2 linked regions of the Arabidopsis thaliana genome follow. The protein of the gene in region 1 interacts with the protein of each later gene in a pairwise test. Each region holds a gene or a part of one and is shown in the gene's direction. Other genes may lie near its edges.

Region 1 (5,410 bases):
TGTATGCGTATGTGTACATTAAATTTATCCCACGTGCAACCCTTTTGTCTCTGTCCGTTTATTTTATTCCTCAGTTTTATTAACCAACCAAATCGTTTTTGTGTTACGCGTAACTTACGGTCTATAATTATTTTAGACCGAGAGTCTGAATATGTTTAACTAATTAGATCTTTCCTACTGTCGATTTTAATATGACATGGTCTTCTCTTTTAAGAATTTAAATTACCGAAAATTGATCTTCAATCCGTTTTACATGGACTTCTCTATGATGATATTTGAACAATATGTCTGTACTACAACAAACATAGTTAAAGATATTTGTAACATCTATTTAGGCTATCGTAATTCGTAACTGGTTTTGTTATATAAGACATTTTCAATGAGTTTATTATATATGCTTTTGCATAAAGTTACAAACACTATATATGCTTGAGTCATGGTTTGCTTCGTGACTCGTCGTCGTCGATCGCATAAATTATCTTTGAGGTTTAAATAAAAAATGAAAGAAAATGAGCGCCGTCATGTTATCCACCGGAGAAAGTAAAACGGAGCCACGTCAACAGTTACGGAGCAAAGTCGCCGACAGTTGTAACGTCAAGCTTAATCAGCCGTCTTCATTTTGAACATAACGTAATAAAACAACCAAACACTCTTTTTTCCTCTTTAACAACAAAAGAGGCGTCAGTGCTTACGTGGCTTTTCACACGTTCTGATTTTCAACATTTTGTAAATCATTATTACTAAATGACCAATAGCATTTATTCTTTTGTTTTTGTTTTACATTTTTAGTTGGGATATTTTAATCAACTAGTATGATAAAGTTTATTCGCCCCCAACGACTTATTATTAAATTAAGAAGAGAATCAAAGAAAACGAATGGTGTAGTTAATATTAATTGAATAATTAGAACAAAAAAAAATTAAAGATAAAGATAAGAGAGAAAGGAAAGTGGAGGTGGGTAAAGGCCATAGCCATGTGCCTTCATGTGGTGGTTGGCCCATTAGTGGACCTACTCTACCACTTCTTCAACTCTTTTTTAGTTCTTATTATATGATTAACACCTTCTTATTCATTTGGTTTCACTCCTAATATCAACAATTTTGTAAATTGTTATTGACCCGAAATTGTTAATCTTTAAACGTATTTTTATGATAGATGTGAAATTTGAAACCTTAGAGAAAACAGTGAGATTTAAGGGATTTTGGAGCTGAATCTTGAAAAAAGATAAATATGATCATGATGATGTTATACAAAAGAATTAAATGGCGTGAAAAATACGTCCGGCGGCAAAGCGGTAGGGGAGAGAGTGATTAACACAAAAGAGATGGGACTAATGCTAAATTATAGCCTTAACCAAACACTTATCGTATTCCTCAAGTCTCTCTTCTCTTCTTTTATATTTTCATGTGTTGTCTTTTCTAAATTGGTTAGTAATATTTGGTGTATATAAATTGTAACGTCATCTATTGGTCAAGCCAATTGAATAATCTCATATTTTGTTGTTGCTCTCTTGCATGGTGAATACTTTGTTATATATCTGATCAATTTTAAACACGTTTTATCTTGATGATGCGAGTGGCTAATTGATTAAGTTTATTAACACTTTATATCGTCGAAATAATCATAGTTATTCTCAGGTTCAATGGTGTTACTTTCTAAACTAACGTATAGTTCAAACTCAGTTTCGAATAAACATCCTCAATCAGTCGTTTCACGAGAGTTGGATTTTGGCTGAATTTTGTTTGTGGAAGTAAATATCGAGCAAGTAATGAATCAATTAAATTGATATTTTGGGTTTTGTTATTTCTTTTGCCTTGAAAATGAGCTTATATGTTTTCCACAATCGATCATATTCCATCTTAATCGTCATTAGTTGTCAACTAATGTTAACATAAATACATACATATATGTATATAGCTTACCTAATTTTATCATAATAGTCTCTATTAGCTGTTCACGTTAATGAATTCATACGCATTCGTCACTAAATTAACCTTTTATAAAAACAAACAAATAAACATAATAGTGTGGTTGGAATCTAATTCCATAATCTGATGTCTGCTCTAAATTGCTCTTTTTTCCGTTAATACCAAGCTATGAACCAAACGAGCTTGATTAATTTGCGTCTAGTACTTAAACATCATCCGAATTATTATTTTGTTTTAGCTAAGATGTATACGAGCATTAATGCTATATATATTGTATTTGGGTGTAGTATACATTAATATTTCAAATTTCAAAATAGTCAAATATATATACCCAAAATAGCCAAGTTCTGTTAATCTATTGGCATCAACTTTTTTCTTCAAGCTCCAAAACATCGTTTTCCACTAATTGCCCATTTATTTATTCAAGACTTTATAACACTAGGTGTAAATTATACTTTTCCGAAATACATGGGTTATACAATTCACATTTCATTTTAAAATTCTAACACATAATGATATATTTACACATCTAAGTAGCCACCAGTAAGCAATCGATGTCAAACCACTAAACCATAACAGACGAATCTACAAAAAATTTGAACTAATATTAGTAAACCCCCAAAGTTAAACATAGAACTGTATTTATTTGCTGTTCACCATTGAAGAAAACTGCCACTTATAACTTCATATTCTCATATTTTTACGCAACGTAACTTTGACGGACCAATTAAGCTCCAAAATTCAATATTTCAAAGCTATTAACACATCTTTTTTTTTTTAGAACATGAGTTATAAATAGTTGAACCTATAGTTTAAATTTAAACTTTATAGAGAATTTGAATAGTTGTGTGTCTTGTGACATAAAAAAACATAAAGAAAAGTTAAGTACAAGGAAAAATAAACATTATTTATTCCTCTCTATCTCTCTCTCTCTCTCCACCTTTCCATTTATATTAACCCTAATATTGTGTCATTCTCAAAAAAAAAAAAGTTTTATAAAGGTTCTCAACTCAAGTTCTCTTCTCTAAAAAACCCAAACAATGGCCTCTGCAGACAAACTCATAAACACAGATGTCCCTGAAAAGGACGTTTTTGCCTTCCACTTCCTCCAATCCCTCTCAAATCTCAGAAAACAAAACCCTTTTGATACTCCGGACCAAAAAAACTACCGCGTGAGGAAGATCAAGAAGGCTGCGTACGTTTCCATGGCCAGAGCAGCCGGAGGGAGTAGCCGGCTATGGAGCAGAGCCCTCTTGCGTAGAGCAGACAAAGATGACAACAAGATCGTAAGATTTTCAAGGAGGAAGTGGAAGATATCATCAAAACGGAGGAGGAGTAACCAGAGAGCTCCGGTGGTGGAGGAGGCGGCGGAGAGGCTGAGGAATCTTGTTCCGGGAGGCGGAGGAATGGAGACGTCAAAGCTGATGGAAGAGACGGCTCATTACATCAAGTGCCTTAGTATGCAGGTCAAGGTCATGCAGTGTCTCGTTGATGGCTTATCTCCCAAATGATCATCAATTAATCATCAACATCATCATCAATGATCGATGTATATAGAGATACGACACATACATAGTCTATTGGATTGGGGTAATCATAACGAATATATATGTGTATATATATATATATATATATATATATATTCTTATATATATACATACGTGTAAGATAGGATACATATATGAAATGTGTGGATATGTATTAGTCTCGAAGTAACGAAAGATTTTTTTCTTTTTCTTTTCTTGAATTTTGATAAAAGGGGATTTATTATTTATCATATGCTATGGCCGGTTTAAACATTAGGGCTTGGTAACTTGCCCTTGTCATATGATAAAAGGGGATTTATTACTTATCATATGCTAAGAGAATTTTCTTTCTTCTTTTCTTTTAAGCTATGCAATTTACTTGGTTCCTCTTGATTGTGTTATTCGTCAATGATGTTTCTATGGATGGATTATATATATAAAGTTATAACATATTAGTTATAAGAAAATTATAGCGGAATTATAACTATCATAAAATATACATTCTGTATTTATATATCTCCTATACATATACGACTGTTTATGTTTTTGAGAAAATATATGATAAATCTAATAATTTTAAAAATATATATTTATAGAATTATGAATCATTTAATTAAATGATTTTTTTTTGTTTAACACGGAGTTACTTGAATAAGTCTTAAAAATACTTGACATTATATAGGTTAAAGAATTTTGTAGAATATATATAATTTAACTCCTTTTTTGTTTTGTATAACTCTTTTTTCAGGTAAGAGAGATTTTTTTTTTTGTATAACTCTAACATTTCATGATTTATGTCGGATTGAATTCAAATGGTCGCTCACAACAACATTATTAACAAAAATTACAAGACTCTGATTACTTGTTTTCTTTATAATCACATTTTCCGTTGGAAGGATTATCTACACGTCTTATTTATGCAGTTGGTCATACTTATATTTCATACGAGTGTCCTACTTTAATTTGTCAATTATTATACACGTGTACGTAAACAGACAAATTGGTCAATTCCACATATTTCACATCAAATATCTGATTCGTGCATTCGTTTTCGTCAGAATTTCATTCCATCAGTCGAATAATATTTGAACAAACTTTCAAGTTTTATGGAATTTTCAAAGACTTATTTTTCCCAAAAAAGAAAACACACAAAGATTAACAAAAGGGAATTTGCATTATACTTGAAATTCTACAAAAACGAGTCTGAATTCAAGAGAAGGTTAATATAGACTCTGTACAACATGTCATGAGTCTTACTAGAGAACCTTTCTTTCTTCTCCCCCAAAACAAGGAAAAAAAAACGATATAATACAGTACTTTCCGATGTGTCTTGAATTACTTTTGGTATCCGATTAACTTTGGCTTTGCAGAGAACTTACATCATCAGCTTTTGTGTACCTCTCACATATGAAATCTGCTTAAGCTATGCTCGATGTTTTGGGGAAAAGCTAATTCAGTTTGATTGATAACACATCATTAGAATATTGTTGAATCATGTTATTATGCCACAGGCATTGGATCCTCCGGTGTGTGAGACTCTGATTCTTCGATACCGTAATTCCATAGTTCTTTAAGCTCTCCTCTTACCAACCCCAGTATGACGGCCAAACCTACAGAGAGAAAACACATCAGGTTTTGTTTGAGAACGATGGAGAGGAGTGTTCAAAAACAGATGGAGGAAAGGGAACTCAAGCTTCTGGTTTTACCGAGTGTGCAGGGTACGATGTACAATAGTGCCGGCTGGCCATGTCCGTCCATAAGATACAGACCTAGGTATGTCAGTAATAGACCTACAAAACAGAACAGGAAGAAACAATGTTTCTGTTAAGTTCCAAGACTGTGAATGTGAGAAGCCATCTCGATTAGCAAGCTATGTTATTTTATAGTCGGAAAATATAAAATAATTGAGATCATTTACTCTGTTGTATAAGCTATGTAACGCCATTAATGTTCACA
Region 2 (5,754 bases), on another chromosome or scaffold:
GGAAAATCTCTTTTAGCGGCTTAACTATAAACTTGGTTATCACAGTTTCATCAGCTTCCTCTCGTTTTCTACTCTCGGCTGCAAATTGTCCCGCAGAGTTCAGAAGTGCAACTCCCGTGACTTGCTCGGGTAATCCAACCGCAACTGACAATGCCGTAAATCCCCCAAGGCTGTAAAGAAGTGGAAGAACTTGTTTCAGACTTCCTTGTGGAATGTCAAAAAGAGCTTCAAAGAAGACATTCATTTACCTGTTTCCAACGACAACAGCTGGTTCTTTCACTACCTCTTTCATGAAATCAATAACTTGATCTGTCCAAACCATGGCATCATACTCTATGAGAGCTTTGTCACTCCATCCGAAACCGAGTAAGTCCAAGGCGTAAACCTTGTATTTCTTAGCCAATTCAGGAATGTTATACCTATAAAAATCTACCGATATTAGCTCGAATTCGTATGATAAGGTAAAAAGTTGACTTAAAGCCTACACTGATCAATAGAGCATGGAGGTGAGATTGAAGGTACCTCCAATGAAAGACAGAAGCACCAAAACCATGAATAAGAACTAGAGGCGAGCCTTCTCCTTGAACAACATAATGAATCTTGTGACCTCTCCATTCCCAAAAGTTATAGCCTTCTGGTTTAAAAGCCAACCTCTCACTACCTAAAGAATCATCCAAATTCTTTTTAACAAAGATGACATTTTTAGACCAAGAGAGAAGCAATAGTTCCAAAGCTAGTTTTTTTTTACCTTGAACAGACTGAGAAGAAGCAGAAGAAGTATCCATGACTGAAACTCCAGAAGCAACAATCCCTCCCCTAATTGCAAAATCCCTTCTGCTGATTTCACATTTGTTTCCTTCATTGCAAAGATTAAACAGATTGTTCATAATTCAGGCTTAGGGGCACATCTAAATGAAAGGTTGGAGTTGAATCTTACTTGGTCGACAAATTCTAGCAGGAAAGATTGATCTTTTAGATGATGATGAACTGAATAACTCTGTCCTAACAGACGGTGTTAAAGCACATGAAGCAGACATCGATTATTCACAGAGAACAACCTCGTAAAATTTTCAAGGACAAGAGAACCAGATATTTCAGAACTGAGAGATGCAAAAAGGACAAACTTTTTGAGCACCGAGTGTATGTGTGAACTTGCGGGAGAGTTGTGGCGACCCCTGAGCCAGACAAGTCGAATCCGCTCGACGAAGCAGAGTGTTTCTGAAAGTTGCGGTTTTTATGGTTTAACGATTAGGCCGGTAATTTCGACTTAGCTAAACCGGCCGGTTCAGCCGTATTTGTCCCAAAGATCCTGATTTTTTACTCATCATTTTGACAAAAGCTGTCAAGTTGATATTATCAAACAGAACTATTGATTTGTACACAACAAGATATTGAAGCACTCTTTCTTAAATTTCATGTTCTCTAACTCTCTTCCTCAGATCTTGTCTCACTGTTGCATAGGTGTGACATTCTTTTGAAGTAAACAGAAATAATTGACGTGGAATGTGATTCCTGTTATCACATAGATCCATCATTAGTGAAAAGAGCAAACAACACAGTTTTGTAAGTAAGCAAATTAGAGACGTGATACACACGATCTAGGGCCTTATACTTTGATGTGACGAATACGAGTGTTCCTTCCGTTTTCGTGATTCGACAAAATGCCTAATTGCAACATGAATGCATTGACACAAACTTCTTTACAAAAGAATACATCCTGAAACCCATTGAATCAAAAACTTTCTAAAACTTTTTTGTGGAAATTGCAAAAAACAACAGATACTCTCAACGTTAAGTATTTTGGCATTTGAAGCATTTACTCTTCTCATCTCATAAGCAGCTTGTTATTGATGTTTCCCAAAGAACCAATGAAATGGAAACCTCAAAGCAACCTGTACGGTGTGTTATTGAAATCGGTCTAATTTTGGATATATTTTTTCAAGTTCTTCAAAAAAAAAAAATCGAAATAGTATTGATTCTCTTGAATTATGTCACGCATTATAGATAATGTATAGATATATAATTAATAGGGAAAAAAAGAAAGTATAGGGACCAAACACTTAGATCAAAAGCAATGGTGTCGCCTACCTTCCTATCACTTATCTTCAAACCCATTTTCTTCTTTAGGTCGCTTATTTTGTGTCCCTATCAGTTATGAATTATAATATGTGATATTATAATATGTCATATATTCATCGAGTTGCCATCTCTCTAATATATGAAATCCACTTAAATTATTGGTGTAATCTATGGATTGATGAAGGGTAGTAATCATACGTCACAAGGATCACGTATAGATTCACAACAAGACATTGAAATGATATCACTCATGATTCAAACCATTGTTTCTATTCATTTGCAAGTTAAGATTCATAATTCACATTCCCCACATTCTCCACCTTCAAGCCTAAGAAAGACCCTCTCTCTCTCTCTCTCTAACAAAACAAATTGGTACAATTAGAAGGTTGTCTTACCAAAAACTCAATGATTTGATTTTACAAAAGAGGATATTTATATGATAATACCCTCATGAACCTTAAGTTTTACAAAGTTTGATTATTGTTGCCAAACAAAAAGATCCTCTCAAAAACTTGAAAGGCCAAAAGGAAAAAAAAAAACACAGAGAAAAGACACAAAAGAGACTAACTTAAGAGACTCCTCATCTCATGTTCATAAGGACATGACCACATGGTAGGTTATGTCAATTAGACCCCACAACTTCTCATCTCACCTTCTTTGTCCCCAACCTCCTCCACTTTTATCAATTTTGTCCCTCTCTCACTAGATTTCGAATCTCATGTGTGTGGGTCAATGTTGCTTTCTATTTAAAGCTAAGAATAATTATATCTAATGGATTACTTTTCTTCCACACATATATAACTTAACTCTCTCTTTTTCTCTTTTGCTTTAACCCCCTCAAAGAAAAGATAAGAGCCTTTTAAAGTTTTTTTTTTACCTTCTCTTCATGGACTTGTCTGTACTTGATAGGCTTAAGTGGCTGCAACAGCAACAAATGGTTTCACCTGAGTTTCTTCAGATACTTGGCTCAGATGGGAGAGAAGAGCTCAAAAGAGTTGAGAGTTACTTGGGAAACAACAATGATGAGCTGCAGAGTTTCAGACATTTTCCCGAATTCGGACCGGATTATGATACTACTGATGGCTGCATTTCTAGGACAAGTAGCTTCCATATGGAGCCAGTGAAGAATAATGGACACAGCAGAGCCATTACCTTGCAGAACAAGAGAAAACCAGAGGTTTGTAGCTCAAGAAAGTATTGAGTATTAGAGTTTAGATTTTGTTTGAAACATTGTTTCTGATCGTTTTAACTATTGGTTTTAGGGTAAGACAGAAAAGAGAGAGAAGAAGAAGATCAAAGCAGAGGATGAAACAGAGCCAAGCATGAAAGGGAAATCAAACATGAGTAACACAGAGACATCTTCAGAAATTCAGAAACCAGATTACATTCATGTTAGGGCTAGACGAGGTGAAGCCACCGACAGACATAGCTTAGCAGAGAGGGTAATTAACTAAAGTGTTGTTGTTAAATAGGTTTCAGAGAAATTACTTTCATTAGAGATTTGAGTGGTTTTATATTTGTGGGATTTTGGCAGGCAAGAAGAGAAAAGATAAGCAAGAAGATGAAATGTCTACAAGATATTGTTCCTGGATGCAACAAAGTTACTGGAAAAGCTGGTATGCTTGATGAGATCATCAACTATGTCCAATCTCTGCAACAACAAGTCGAGTTCTTGTCGATGAAACTCTCTGTCATAAATCCAGAACTTGAGTGTCATATCGATGATTTATCCGCAAAACAGGTGAATAATAGTCAGTTTTCATCCCAAGAACTAACCAAGAGTTTAATTACCGCATTTATTGACTGGTTAAATATTGGAATCTAGTTTCAGGCTTACTTCACAGGTCCTCCAGAAGGTGACTCGAAGCAGTCAATCATGGCGGATTTTCGGTCTTTTCCATTACATCAGCAAGGATCTTTAGATTACTCAGTCATAAACTCAGACCACACCACATCTCTCGGCGCTGTAATAATCTTTATCTCAGACAAATCTTTCATTAGTCCCAATTTTTTGTTACTTGTCCGTGAAGTAACTTATTTCTTATTCTGTTTTGCAGAAAGATCATACATCATCAAGCTGGGAAACTCACTCACAGTGTCTTTACAACAGCTTGAGAACCGATTCTGTTTCCAATTTCTTCAGCCTCAAGTAAAAAAATTAGGGATAGCCTCATTAAAAAAATCGCGGTTTTTTGTTGTTGTCTTATCCATTTATCTATCTTATCTGAAATTTGAACCAAAAGAGACAGAGGAAACCAATCCAAAGATCTTTCTCAATCTATTATCTTCATACAAATATAGTGATTTACATATATTCCAGGGGATATGTATATGTGTAGAAGAAAGAGAAAAAACTCTTGTGGTCATAGCAATTCCTTTTTTTGTACATTGTAGAATCAAACTCTTGTGGTCGTAACAATTATTTCCTTCACAAATTACAACTACACTTGTATTAATGGAGATGCCTTTTGGCCTGGTATCAACATATACAAACCTAAGCCAACAAACAGAGAGCCAAAAAAAAAATCAAAAAAATTTCTCAAAAATTAAGTTAAATCCAGCCTAATAATGTATCTTATGCTTCTTTCTATTTTTTCTTCTTCTTGAGACTGGAGAAATTGAATCCAAAAAGACCAGATTTCTTGGGAGATGGTGTTATTTTAACAGGTTCCGGATGAGTAACTGGAGTAACAACCTGTGAAGTAGGCGAAGCAGTTGTTCTTCCTTCTGGTCTGGAGGAAACTTCTTCTTCTTCTTCTTTGTCGGAATCTACTTCTACAAGAGCTCTAAGTAATTCTGATGCACTCACCTTTACTTCCTCTGTTCCATTGTTGGATATCAAGATTAGAGATGAGTAAATATCAGTTGCTTCTCTCACGACAAGACAGCAATACTCTATCTTCTGCACACAGAGCTGAAGGAGGATGGAGATTGCGTTCTCTTGCTCCTCGGGAACATTTGACTCGAGTAATTCAGCTATGGAAGCTAAACAATCCGGGGTTTCGGTGATACAACCCCGACCTTTCTCGGTGCTGCAGAGGTTTTTCAGAATGATAATCGAGTGTTTGCAGAAAACTTTTTGTTGCAAGAAAGATGTGAGCTTCTGGATGAAATCGAGAGATACCATTTCCAGACAAATCTCCATGCTTGATGAAAGATTCTTGAGTGTGATCATAGCCTGTTCTTGGAGATGTTCTGCTTGGGACTCTACGATCTTCAAAAGGGAAGAAAGAGATCCTGATGAAGTTATCTTGGACGGACCGTGCGGATGGTTTGACAGAACCTCAAGTATGTTTAGAGCTTCTTCAGCTACTACCTCAGACTCAAGAAAGACTGAGAACATTTTGAAAACCTCTTCTTCCAAAGATTCTATAGCTCTCCTATTTCCACTAAGGAAAGCCAGCAACAAATCCAATCCACCCTTTATTATCTCTCCAGCGGTGCCATTTCTTTCGAGAGCATTCTTCAAATATGTGATAAGTGGCTCAAGAAATTTACTCGGTGACATAGACCGAAAAGCACGAGTACTGTGCTCAAAACGACTTCTTACATCTTCGACGACTTTGATCTGCGCATCCCATGGAAGGTTTGTGAGTCCACACAAGGGATCTATCTCAATCTCGCTGTGACTAGAATCTGTGTCACCAGCGCCTGAAGCAGAATCTATCCTCTGCA

The links. Proteins that work in one complex are often made in the same cells at the same time.
Region 2: the proteins of IBH1 (region 1) and BEE2 interact in binary tests that used the Arabidopsis thaliana proteins (3 or more experiments, as listed by UniProt).

The regions. Positions count from the first base shown.
Region 1 is NC_003071.7:17,906,279-17,911,688, forward strand, and holds IBH1 (ILI1 binding bHLH 1), read left to right. Parts: upstream 1-2,728; 5' UTR 2,729-2,968; coding exon 2,969-3,439; 3' UTR 3,440-3,932; downstream 3,933-5,410. Other genes in the region: SPPL3 (SIGNAL PEPTIDE PEPTIDASE-LIKE 3), read right to left, coding at 4,955-5,064, 5,161-5,244.
Region 2 is NC_003075.7:17,240,734-17,246,487, forward strand, and holds BEE2 (BR enhanced expression 2), read left to right. Parts: upstream 1-2,849; 5' UTR 2,850-2,965; coding exon 2,966-3,256; intron 3,257-3,341; coding exon 3,342-3,521; intron 3,522-3,613; coding exon 3,614-3,820; intron 3,821-3,904; coding exon 3,905-4,045; intron 4,046-4,136; coding exon 4,137-4,232; 3' UTR 4,233-4,563; downstream 4,564-5,754. Other genes in the region: AT4G36530 (alpha/beta-Hydrolases superfamily protein), read right to left, coding at 1-170, 249-419, 523-661, 749-856, 938-1,037; AT4G36550 (ARM repeat superfamily protein), read right to left, coding at 4,667-5,754. UniProt on the Arabidopsis thaliana protein: Positive regulator of brassinosteroid signaling.